Daphnia pulex: one gene and its partner. The protein of the gene in region 2 purifies or fractionates together with the protein of the main gene of each other region. This does not show direct contact. Links are inferred from orthologs where the notes say so. Each region holds a gene or a part of one and is shown on either strand. Other genes may lie near its edges.

Region 1 (6,368 bases), on a different chromosome or scaffold from region 2:
CCTTTAACCACATGAACTAGGCTTGAGCATTACGGAATCTATTCATAATATGATGGCAAATGAAGTGTACTATGAGTAACAACCCAGCATGTTTATTTCAATCAGCCAGTAATTGTGGAGCCAGGCACTTTGCACGATTAGCATTCAAAATATCTGATAACACGAGCCGGCTCAGCTCCGACACAATGATTTTATTTAAATTTTATTGAAAGCGGCAATATCGACTGATTGGACCAAATCTTCGAAGTTCTGAATTTCCTCTGTAAGCCAGTCAACAGAAACTTTGTCATCTTCAATGACGCATCCGATTTGGAGCTTCTTGATACCATATGCCAATGGTACAAATTTACCTGAATAAACAATACAGTTTTAATTGGCTGTAAAAAATGTGTTTCATTGAAAATACTTACACTGTCCCCAAATAAGACCATCACATGTGATGGTTTTTACAGCTTTCTCCATGGCTTCCATGTCTGTCTCATCATCCCAGGGTTTAACATCTAGGACAATTGAGGACTTGGGAATAAGCGCAGGTTTCTTGGATTTCTTTTCACTGTAGGCTTTAATTCTTTCTGCCTTGATCTTCTCAGCAGCCTCATCCTACAGCGGAAATTTCTGTTAATACTCATTAACTGAGGGATTTGCCTATGGTTAGTACCTCTTCGTCATCAGATCCAAACAAGTCAACATCATCATCATCATCATCGGCTGGTTTGCTGGCTGGGGCTGCAGCAGCAGATTTGGCACCTGGGAATTTGCTGGTTTCAGACCCAAATGATTTAATGTGGTTGTACCAGCGGAGAGCATGTGGGAAGCTGCTGGCAGGGGCCTTTCCTAAAGCTTGGAAGGTGGTCACGTCCGCCTGAGACGGTTCATATCTATACACAAGAATATAACATCGACATATTTTTAGATATAACGAAACGGAAAGCATGCTCAAGAAACAGTTCTATTGTACCCGGCAACACATACTTAAAATAAAGTGAAAAACTTACCCTTCAATGTAACTTCTATCGGCTAGGAATTCGTTAAGGGCCTTAACACCATTTTCAGTTTTAAGATCGCCGAAAGCCATGATTATTTTATCAGGTCTGAAAGGAAGAAACCGACTGAGGGTAGAAATTGACACGCGATTCGGCAATGGCAGACACCAAAGAGAGACGGTTACGTGTTGCCAGATAGCTAAATATTTTAGTTCGTTTGTCCACCGTCGTCCTAAATCCCCCAGGCAGTAAAAGGGAAGGGAAATGCGAATTTTTACGGGAAAATTCAAGGACACGTTAAAGTTTAATGCACTTTTAAAGCTATAACAATTAATTTTTAATTCAGAAATTTCATTACTGATTTGGAATGAAATCATATTTTCTATGAGCAATGTGCATTTTCAATTCGTTGTGCTTGCGCAAAACTTAATGACTGCATCAATTTTAATCTGAATTCTTAAGGTCATTTTATGATACCCTTTAGGAAGGGCTTGTTTTATTTTAATTGAAAAACGACCATTTGTTAGTAAAGTCCTTGTCCTGAGATTGGTTATTTTATCCAACTACACTAGAAATATTTTATGTAATTTGTTTCAAAATTTAACCGAATAAACGTCAGTTGTTAACTTTTACGTTCATTGCAATTTATTTAGCAATTTTTTATCGATGAATTCCAGATGATTCAACCCAAACTATACCCTTTACCTTCCTTCTCTTTCAAAAACATAGAAGGTTTTACAAAAAACTGTTCATGTATTTTTTTTTTTTTTTTTAGAAAGTAAGACTTTATAATGATTTACTACGAAAAAAAAACGACAGTAGTGTCTCCTATCACGAGTGATTCATACGTGTCCAATACTACGCTGTAGAGCTGATAATTGTGCCTTCCAGATCGATGAATGACTCAAGATTGAACAGCAGTAACATGATTACATAAACTGGGATGTCAAACAAGAGGAATGAAAATCTCCAAAATTACCGCTATACAACTTGACAACACCACTACAATCAAGAAGGTAAGTAACATGAAAGGTTGGAACAGAAATTGACTTGGATTTGGGACGTTACATCATTCCGCCCATACCTCCCATACCACCCATGCCTCCCATTCCGCCCATTCCTCCCATGCCGCCATCGGCCTTCTCTTCTTTGGGGATTTCACAAACAACACATTCTGCTGTTGTGAGGAGGGATGCAACTCCAGCGGCATCAGTAAGAGATGTTCGGACAACTTTAGTAGGGTCAATAATACCGCGTTCAATCATGTTGACGTACTCATTTCGGAGGGCATCATAACCAATGGAAGCTTCAGAGTCCATAACTTTAGAGACGACGACGGAAGCATCAACTCCAGCGTTTTTAGCAATAGTCATGCAAGGCATCCTCAAAGCGCGACGAATAATGTCGATGCCAACTTTTTGATCTTCATTTGCATAGGACAGCTTGTCCAAAATAGGAATACAGCGAAGTAGAGCAGTTCCGCCACCAGGAACGATACCCTCCTCAACGGCAGCTCGGGTGGCGCAGAGTGCATCGTTAACACGATCCTTTTTCTCGTTCACTTCAACTTCGCTTGATCCACCAATCTAAAGAATTAAAACATTAGAAAATGACCCGTGGAGCTTTATTGAGAGAATATTATACCTTAAGGACAGCAACTCCAGAGGCGAGTTTGGCTAACCTTTCCTGCAGCTTCTCCTTTTCGTATTCTGATGTTGTTTCGGCAATTTGATCCTTGATTTGGGTAACACGCTGGGCGATGTCTTCTTTGCGGCCTTTACCTCTCAACAACAGAGTGTCGTCTTTAGTAACAACCACTTCTCCAACCTGACCAAAGTCGTGCAGCTGAATATCTTCGAGCTTGACGAGATTTGCTTCATCACCAAAGACCAAGCCACCTGTAGCATTGGCCATATCGTGAAGCGTATTTTTGCGGTTGTCGCCAAATCCTGGGGCTTTAACTGCAACTACCTGGAGTCCAATCTTCAGTCTGAAAAACACTTTCGTTAATTTACAATTTCTTTAAAAAATGTAGGTAAGAAACTTTTACCTGTTAACAACAAGAGTGCTAAGAGCTTCGCCATCGATGTCTTCCGCAATAATGACTAGGGGTTTGCGGTGTTGATTGGCGAGTTCCAAAGCAGGAATGATGGATTGAATGGAAGAAATCTTCTTCTCACTCAACAAGACCAACGCATCTTGATATTCTACTTTAGCGCCCTTTGCTGTGTTAATAAAGTAGGGTGAAATGTAACCACGGTCGAATTTCATGCCTTCGATGACTTCAAGTTCATCAATCAAAGTTTTTCCATCTTTGACAGTAATGACTCCCTCTCGTCCAACTTTGTTCATTGCTTGAGAAATCAGTTTACCAACTGATTCATCACCATTAGCAGAAATGGTAGCAACCTGAACGAAAGGAATTCCAGTTAACATTAATTCAAAAATGAATTGTCTCATTAGTTACCTGAGCAATTTCTTCTGGAGTAGTAACCTGTTTGGACATGGCTCTCAAGTTTTCAATAACAGCATCAACAGCAAGCATGACACCACGACGAACTTCAACAGGATTGGCACCTTTTGTTATCTTTTCAAATCCTTCCTTAGCAATGGAGCGAGCCAAGACTGTTGCAGCAGTTGTTCCGTCACCAGCAGATTCATTTGTATTATTTGCTACGTCTTGAACTAACTTGGCCCCAATGTTTTGGAATTTGTCTTTCAATTCGATACCCTTTGCTACAGTAACACCATCCTTAGTGATTTTAGGTGAGCCCCATGATTGTTCTAGAATAACATTACGTCCCTGTAAATAGAAGCAACAAATTGTAAGTGGTAGTCCGAATTGAAGTGCAAATCTAATTTTGAAATTACCTTGGGACCCATGGTTACAGCAACTGCATCAGCAAGAACATCTACTCCCTGCAACATTAAGGCTCGTACATCAGCTCCAAATCGAACATCTTTAGCATAATTTCTGTATGCTTGAGGAGCGATCTGGCGAAGAGCTGCTGTTCTCAGAAGACTTGGTAGGCGATACATCTCTAAAGTAATAAAAAAAGTTACAGATCTGTTAGATAATGGATAACACGCTGCTAACGCTATGTACTGGTAACTTTTAACAGAAAAAAAGACTTAAATAATCCATATTTTAAGCCGGTAACACTGAGGAACTGACTATTGACATCTACTAATTTTAACAGATGATAATTAACGTCCAAAACTTACTTTTTAGGTGAATTAAACTTTAATGTAGCTGAGTAGTTCCCACGTGCAACGCTTGCCGACGATAGTAAGACTGAATGTGAAACAGAAGACGAGCGTGCGCTTAGCCTAAATAAAAATGTGCTTGCGGAAACTTCGAGATCACCGATTCACCACCATATGATCACCCATTTAAAGTGCATGTTGCAATAAAAAATTAAAATAATATTTAGTTTGAAAAAAATGTATTTTTTAATGGAAGAAATAATCTATTTATGTGAACACAACATTAAATGAAGGTCGGTTAACCGCATTTATTCGTGAAAATAGAATGTGCCGCCGATGCGCATAGAAAAACCAGAGAAAAACCAGTTCCTTTGTTCTAGAACAATCTAATAAAAGTAAAAAAATATGCATCAATGCTAGTTTCAAGTACTTGCTGGTATAAGGAAAAAAATTTATCATAGTTGAATTGACTTTTAAAAAATTCAAAAGCAATTAAAACACAACCCATGAAGCAGTTTTGATATATCGAACATTGTTGGAACATTCTAGAACCACGTGGCTTATGTAAGCTTCCAGCAGACGCTCATTTTCTTTACTTCACGTTAACTTCGCCAGAGCTAGTCTTGCCGGTTGACGAGAAACACGTAGTTTTTACACTCACCCATCAACAAAAATTACAATGGTAAACAGTTTTTCAGTTGCCTGTTTTTATAGTTAATTTATCAATATTGTTTCTTTAGGCAGGCGCACTGAAACGATTTATCCCAATGTTCGATCGTGTTTTGATCGAAAGGGCCGAGGCCTTGACTAAAACACGAGGTGGAATTGTTATTCCCGAGAAGGCTCAACAAAAAGTTCTGAAAGGCACAGTCGTTGCAGTTGGACCAGGATCTCGAACAGATGTACGGTAAATTTTGATAACAACCATTGTTAAATTGTCTAATGATTTGTTTTTGTTATCGTAGAAAGGAGATTTAGTTCCCCTTGCTGTGAAGGTTGGTGATAATGTTTTGCTTCCCGAATATGGTGGCACAAAAGTTGAAATTGAAGACAAAGAATACCACCTATTCCGTGAGAGTGATTTGTTGGCCAAGATTGAACAATAATTGATATAAATCCTTTTCCCTGTTAAATTGAATGAATGGGAATATTTGGGCGTCAGATTTTGTATGGTAGTCATTATATCATGTGCAGTTTAGGAGAATAAAAAATCCACTTTTGTTAAATTCCTTTGCATTTCATTACTTCTAATCAAAGACAATTTAGTCTATATTTATCTTGTTTTCAGGGAACAACATAAAATTTAACCTCGAGTTTGTTGTTACCATTTCTATAACAGGGAAAACATTTCAATAATATGATCCAGATTATTAGTAATAAATGGATTGTCTCTGATTTCGTTGGATTGCGTGTGCGTATCCAAAAAGACTAACTGGATCGGAGATAGGCATTTTCAAGAAATGAAAAGTTACTCGCATCATTTGGATCGCTTTGCGTTACCGGTATAAAATGGCAGGCGATCCTCGTAATCCAGGTAAACTTCGGAGCGTGAGACCAAACTAGGCGAGACACCAAGGGTTGAGTGTAATTAATAACTTGATAATAAAGGAGAAACTAAAAGGTTTTGAGGGTTCAAGGTGAATGTACATTAGGATGGGAATGATTTGTCCAAAGTCTAACTAGAATGTATATGGAAACGCAACGAATAATAAGTTTGTGAATTGTATGCGGTGTGTAGTAAATTTCATGTGGACTTCAACGAGAGAGTAATATAATGAAAGATCTACTCTTGTTAGTTTGTATATTTATTTGAGTATATTAAATTCGTGAAGGAAAATTAGGATCGTGAACGCCTGACTATGGCCATCAGACCAAGCAAATGAAAAGTGCAATAAATAAATAGCATGCTAGTAATATCTACTGAAAAACGACTAGAATCAAAACTGAAGTGTTTCATGACTTCTTGGCCATTATGTAGGCAAGGGAAATTTGACTCATCGCATTTAATGGATGTAACATTTTGCCACTGTACAGCAGAAAGAGCTTCATTTGTGTAGAGGAACCAGGAAAGATACTTGGTCCACGAGACGTATTCCGGCAGTGAGCTGTCAACAATGCACATGGTTTTAATTAGACGAGCCCCCTTAATTATGAAACGATGATTCGCAATACCTGAGA
Region 2 (6,163 bases):
TGCTGTCCGAATGAATCAATTAACATTCGTTTACCTCATTCGCTGCTCTACACCTCGGGGTGAACGAATGGGACTCGACTGTCGCCAACGATTCGCTGCCGTTGCGGCGGATTCGGCCGTCACATCTGAAAGAGTGGATCAGTAAATTAAAAACATGAACATTAACAGTCAAATTAATGATGAAATGAGAAATGTTCGTCCCAACAGAACAAATTTTACCAGTGTCTGTATCGGAACTGTCTTCATCTTCTACAAGGCGAAATGGGCGATAACGTGGCGGAAATCCAATGTTTAGGCTACTATCCATCCGCCTGGGCGGTTGGAAACGATCCAAGCTGCCACCCGAGGATAATCTGTTTCGAATAAAAGTGAGAATATTTCACTTGTCAGGAAGTCATACAACGAAACTAAATTTACCTGGACTCGAAAGAACGAGCTCTTTCAAAGGCATCTCTTCTGGCTCGCCAATGGCGGATGCTGTGCAGGACATTAGAGGCCCACGGCCCGCCACGGGATGATACGCTGCTATCACTAAAACTGGCCGTGGACGCACCACCGCCGTCGATCAAACTTTCTCCAGCGGCCGTGGAACCATCGTTAGTTGGATTGCCAATGCCGTTGGCTACAGCGGCTTCGTTCAGCTGGGCCAATATGCCCATTGTCTGACGCTGAAGTCGGAAATGCGACTCTAGACGCTCCATCAAAGGACGAAGTGACTGGAAAAAATGGCAAAAATAACAAATTAATCCACGACAATTTCATTATAATCAGAGAATGTTACCTGATCGCCGGAACGTTGTCCAGTTTCCAGATTGACTGGAGCAGTGGCTTCCGATGTCGAATGGTGAGTCGACAGGGATCTCATTTGGTTTTGAAGATTACGCCCGTGGAAAATGCGGTTAAGCAGTGAAGGTTTTCTTCTCTGGATTCCCAAATGGCGGGCGTGAAGTAGCGAGTTGCTCCTGGGCGAGATGTGTGAGTTGTTGCGACGAGTCATCCGAGAGAACCGAGATCTTCTCCAGCCAACCGAATGACTCGATCCACGATCCAAACTCGGCATCACTTCATTGAATGCCAAATCTTGACAAAATTTAAAAGAAACAACACAAGAAATTAGAATAAAATTTTCAAGTTCTAATAGGTAATAACGTTTACAACACCCACCAATTTCCATGGAATAATCACGAGAAGTTCCCGGCTGCGGGTCAATTTGTTCAACCGGATTGACTGGGGGCGAACTAGGAGCACTCTGATAAAGACTCAATCGCCTGTAAAAACCCAACAAAATGGAATAAATTGAAGCCACAGCTAATTTCAATAGAATTTTACCGGATGGGATATCTGGTGTCTCTTCCGGCAACAAAATTGCGTCTGAGTCTCGGTTCATCGCGGTGATGTTGGAGTCCAATTCGACGCAAACGGCCAAACAAATAATTGGCGAATCGGCGGCACTGAACGGGCGAATAAGCTCGTGATCCCAGGACCATTCGCCCGCTGCTGTTAAACTGGAGATCGCTTTCAAGGATAGGGCCGCTGTTGCTGCTCCCGGCTGTCCCTCCTGTTTCACGATTAGCAGCGAGGGCATCAGTAGATTGACGTTGACTAGAGTTTGGGCGGTCAATCGATGAGGACGGGCCGCTCGTTCCAGTTGGAGTGACGGGATTCGTCCGCAGTCGAGAGACAAGGTCAAGACTGTCTCTGACGCAAACTTGAAGGTAACGAATTTGTTCCCTAAGATCCTCCAGGATGCGCCGGATTTGCTGGAGTCGATAGACTTGACGCCGGTGCCGAGTCATTTCCAGGTGAGAACGGCAAATGCGCTGCATATTCTCAATGTGTCGACTGAGGAGCTGAATCCTCATCCGGGCATCTTGATCCAGCGAAGCTCCACTTGGCCTGGACGAGCCTTGATCTCCCGTTCCAGACGACTGCGATTGATTGGTGTTTAGAGTGCGACCGATATTGCTGAGGGCTCGCAGGTTCTCGGCCGCGTTCATGAGCGTGCGCCAGAACCTGTCGCTGGACGAAGAGGCGCTCAATAGAGACGCTTCAACGGAAGGGGTGGGAGCGGGCGGAGGGGGAGGAGGACTCGTCCGGCTGCTGTTACTAGTGGACGGTTCAACAAGGGGAGCAAAAGAAACGGTAGAAGGAGTTGGAGCGACAGTAGCAGATGGTGGAGGAAGAGGAACCTCGCTATTGATATGAACGGAAGTTGTTGCTGCTGAGGGTCCAGTACTCTGACTAGAACCGGAGGCGTTAAGTTCCAGTTCTGCAGCGCGATGGCGAAGTTCCTGATAACGAACTCGTAGTCTTTCGTACTGGTCGAGTAATGTCTAAGCGAAAAAATGATTGAAACGTCAAGTGATGAACCAGCTGTAAAGAAACCAATGACACTCACCTGATAACGACTTTGAAGGTTGCGTTCACGTTCTTGTTCATTGCGCTCGAGTCGGTAAGGTATAGGATTCGGGACTTGAGCAGGGCCTCCTAATGTCGAAGGACCACTTGAGAGAGACGAACTTGCACCGGACACAAAGGCAGATGTGCCAAAAGTGTTGGATATTCCAGTGAGTAACAAGTTACCCAAAGGGTCAAAACTGACATATCTAAACAAACAAAGGGGAAGTTATATTCATTGAATTAGTGATGAATAATGAGACTTGTGAAGAAAATACCTGAGTTTCTGCTTCTCATTGGCTGTACTACATTTGGCAAAGGGTTGGGGAATATTCCAATCCCAGAAATACAAGGTGCTGTTGGTGGCTATGACAAGAAGCCTCTCACTTGGGTGAAAGCAAAGCGAAGCAATCACTGTGGTCACTTCTGTGGCTGTCACTGACCACATTTCACTCCCACCCTAGGTGGATGGTAAAGAACAGTTCTCATGAACAAAGGAAAAGTGGCTTCATTTTAAAGAATAAAAAAACCTTACAGACAAATCCCAAACACGAACTTGCCCTCCAAGGCATCCTGATGCCAGAATGTCATTGCGATGAGGATGGAAAGCAATGCACCAAGGGGTACGGGGATGTCCAGTCAAAGTGGAGATGCATTTATTAGTCCTTAGGTCAGTCACATTGATGTTGTGATCACCATGTGATGAAGCAACCTTGGAACTGAAAAAAGGGTGACAGAATGATGATTTTAGTCTCTCTCTTGAGGTAGACATTTGTCAATTTACTTACCCATCCGGACTGAAGACCATAAGAAATGTAGATCTTGGATTCCCTGGCAAAGTACAACACTGTATAAAAGGGATAAGAAATTTTAGTTTAAAGGCAACATTTAGAATAACATTAAGTAAACAATTACTGTTTCTCTCAGATCCTTTTTCAAAAGATTTTCTTCAGCAATGGCTTCAAGCTTCTTGAGAATGGTATTTTGGTTGTGAGTCGGTAGCGAAAGGCTCCTGTCATTCAACAATTTGTGCAAGTGTTCACGCCTGGGGTTTTTGACATCTTGCTGAACTTCAATAACTTCATGATCTTCTTCATCTTCTGACTCGATGTTGAAGACAGGCAAAGGAAAACTGTCCATTTGCACAGAAAGGGAAACCAAGTCCTTTAACCCTGTAAAAATCAATTCAGAAATATATTCATCAGTTTAACTCTGACTGAAGAATTGTGCCCTTGGTAACCAAATGCAGGAAGTCAAAAATAGTTGGAACCAAAATTCTTAAGGGAAACAATGGGGTTCTAAACTTCTAATCCTTAGCCTCTGGTGAAGAGGAAAAAATGTGAAATCAAGATCAAAGTCTTGCCATACCATGAATTGATCTAAACACAATGAACACGTCGATGAGTACAACATAAAAAGCAAGAAGAAATCAAAACTTTCAGTTAATAATAAGAATCGAAGTCGACAAATTTGGCCAATAAAAGATTTTGGCAAGACAGATACGACGGTCATCTGGCGGTCAAACAACACACTCCTACTCAGATCTCGCCTAAAGAACTTTGGAATGATTTGAAACTTGATTTTTTTAAATTATGGCAATTATGGAGTGCTCCGGGTGCTGCTACATCTTTCCAAGTCATCGTCTCAGCAAATGTGGTCTGAAAAGTTTCTTTTCGCTACAAGAGTCACGAAACAATTATTACACCTAACAGAATAATGAATGAATTACTACGAATGACGATGTTGTTTTAGCCCATTGAACAGGATAAGAAACACGGGCAGCGTTTCAGTTTTAAAAAATGGAATAAAAACATCTTTGTGATATTAACTATGACGGGATGTCCAACAGTTGCGTCTAAATTAGTTTGTAAAACCCCAAATAAAACTAACAGGAGGTACAAAAAAAAATGCATATGAGAGTCAATATAATCGGGTCTAATAATAGAGCGTGAACCTCCCACACGTCTGCGTTACAGACAAGGACCAAACGCAGAGGGGAAATCCCCGCTGAAGCTGCACATGCAATGCACGTGACGGCCAGGAACAAAAGGAGGCGTCAAGGAAACAAGAATTGCGATCTATAGGAGGCACGTGACACGTTCGAAAATGAGGTTATGTAACCACTTTTGAGGAAATCCAATCAAGAAATTGAATAACGCGGTGTTTCTTCATTTCTTATATTCACCAAATCATTTCGTCTACATCTGCACGTGCTAAAGCGCAAAAGAATACAAATTATACGAAACGAAAGATGAGAAACAACAAAATGGCAAACCAGGAAACTTATTTGTTGAATCGGAATGGAAGGAAACCGCAAACATCGCACGCGCTACACTCGGATCGACGAGTGGATAGTTTGTGATTTTTCAGGTAACACACCCCGGCACAATACATCATCAATGTTGACTAAAATCAGTGCAACAACTTCCAAGGCGTACTAAACGTATCATCTATAATAAATGGCAAAATTAGGCAAAGTTTCTGCAGCTCGAATGTTTCTACTGCTGTATTCACGATATAGTTGAATCAATAATTCACATCTGCGTACTTACGTCGGGTTTTTATTGCGCCATTTCTGTTCCAACTGTTGATTCCAACTTTGTTTATCAGCCTTTGTTTCCAGAAATGGGCGTCAATGTCGAGACAATATATATTAATATTTGGCTGAGGGATGACGCTCAATAAAACAACCTACAAAATGGTATCAAAAGTTTCGCAAGGTATAGGACTCAAGATAAATGAATACTTTGTTTTACCTAAATTAAAACTGCTGACAATGGCCTCTATTTGGCTGGTTAATCAGATGTCAAAAGAAAATGTGGTTTTCATTTCTAGTGGGGTTTCCAATTTGATGAAAAAGATAAATATTAAGTAGCTTGCAAATTGCCAGAAACAAATTTTCTAAACAGACCATTCTGAAAAATTGCAGGTTTTTCATTCGTAAACCACGATTCAAGTTAGCTAGCTGAACGTTTTGTAAACACGAATTGTATTCCTGAGTAACCTGTAGGATAGACAGGAGTGACCTTAATTTTGCTTAAGAAATAATTGAAAAGAAATACTATGTTACTGAGCACCATGTGCAAATTATGCATCAATTGTAGTATATTTTCCCCTAACCAAATAAGAATCTTTGCATAATGACAAGCAACAAGCTCAGCTCTATTTTGATTGTTCACTGAGTCAACAACACTCGATAGACTGTAAGACACCAACAAGATTTTACTTGGAAGGATGAAAAATATTACCATTTTGCGAAGAAATTAACCAGAATCACGACAGCCAACATGACATAAGGTTTGTTTTGATTTTGAAATGAGTAGCCGATCGACGCCATCTATTAACAAAAATTAAAACAACCAAGGAAAATGGTTCCAATTTCAAATCAGCCAAGGATCTGAAAAATGTATCGAACAAACGGGCATCCTTTTTTTGATGCAGAGTAATAAATGCTAGTATATTTTTCCAACTACGTTAGTGTATAAATCGTGTCAGCCTAATGATAATAATAATTAAGCAACGTCTAATAAGTGACTACAGTAAACGATGAAACGTTTATTCGTCTGTAATGTTTTGTTAGATGACAAGTTCTCTGTACTTGGTACACATGCGTCAGGAAAAGACAAAGTCCGTGCCGTTTGATTGGCAGTCATGAAACTGGTGGTCGTCGACTATTCAACATCGTTCTGGGCCGAATGATTGGTAATATCGGTGCGTTCATTGATCGAGGCGGCCGATGTAGCGGCGACAAGGACTTTGAAAAAAT

What was found. The genes of interacting proteins can lie anywhere in the genome.
Region 1: the proteins of uncharacterized protein LOC124201900 (region 2) and heat shock protein 60A-like purify together in Homo sapiens (affinity purification with mass spectrometry, with the first as the bait; 3 studies listed by BioGRID). This does not show direct contact. The link is inferred for Daphnia pulex from reciprocal best matches to the Homo sapiens genes AMBRA1 and HSPD1.

What each region holds. Positions count from the first base shown.
Region 1 is NC_060021.1:6,594,682-6,601,049, forward strand, and holds heat shock protein 60A-like, read right to left. Parts: upstream 4,315-6,368; 5' UTR 4,209-4,314; intron 4,023-4,208; coding exon 3,855-4,022; intron 3,787-3,854; coding exon 3,451-3,786; intron 3,393-3,450; coding exon 3,034-3,392; intron 2,974-3,033; coding exon 2,628-2,973; intron 2,570-2,627; coding exon 2,048-2,569; 3' UTR 1,894-2,047; downstream 1-1,893. Other genes in the region: elongation factor 1-beta-like, read right to left, coding at 196-350, 411-600, 659-878, 996-1,075; 10 kDa heat shock protein, mitochondrial-like, read left to right, coding at 4,870-4,872, 4,931-5,092, 5,156-5,296; protein scarlet-like, read right to left, coding at 6,028-6,295, 6,363-6,368. UniProt on the Homo sapiens protein: Chaperonin implicated in mitochondrial protein import and macromolecular assembly. Together with Hsp10, facilitates the correct folding of imported proteins.
Region 2 is NC_060025.1:57,492-63,654, forward strand, and holds the start of uncharacterized protein LOC124201900, read right to left. Parts: upstream 3,924-6,163; 5' UTR 3,766-3,923; intron 3,570-3,765; 5' UTR 3,538-3,569; coding exon 3,313-3,537; intron 3,245-3,312; coding exon 3,186-3,244; intron 3,117-3,185; coding exon 2,933-3,116; intron 2,858-2,932; coding exon 2,676-2,857; intron 2,607-2,675; coding exon 2,399-2,606; intron 2,334-2,398; coding exon 1,330-2,333; intron 1,269-1,329; coding exon 1,165-1,268; intron 1,081-1,164; coding exon 782-1,080; intron 717-781; coding exon 418-716; intron 354-417; coding exon 220-353; intron 126-219; coding exon 35-125; intron 1-34. Other genes in the region: uncharacterized protein LOC124201901, read right to left, coding at 6,069-6,163. UniProt on the Homo sapiens protein: Substrate-recognition component of a DCX (DDB1-CUL4-X-box) E3 ubiquitin-protein ligase complex involved in cell cycle control and autophagy.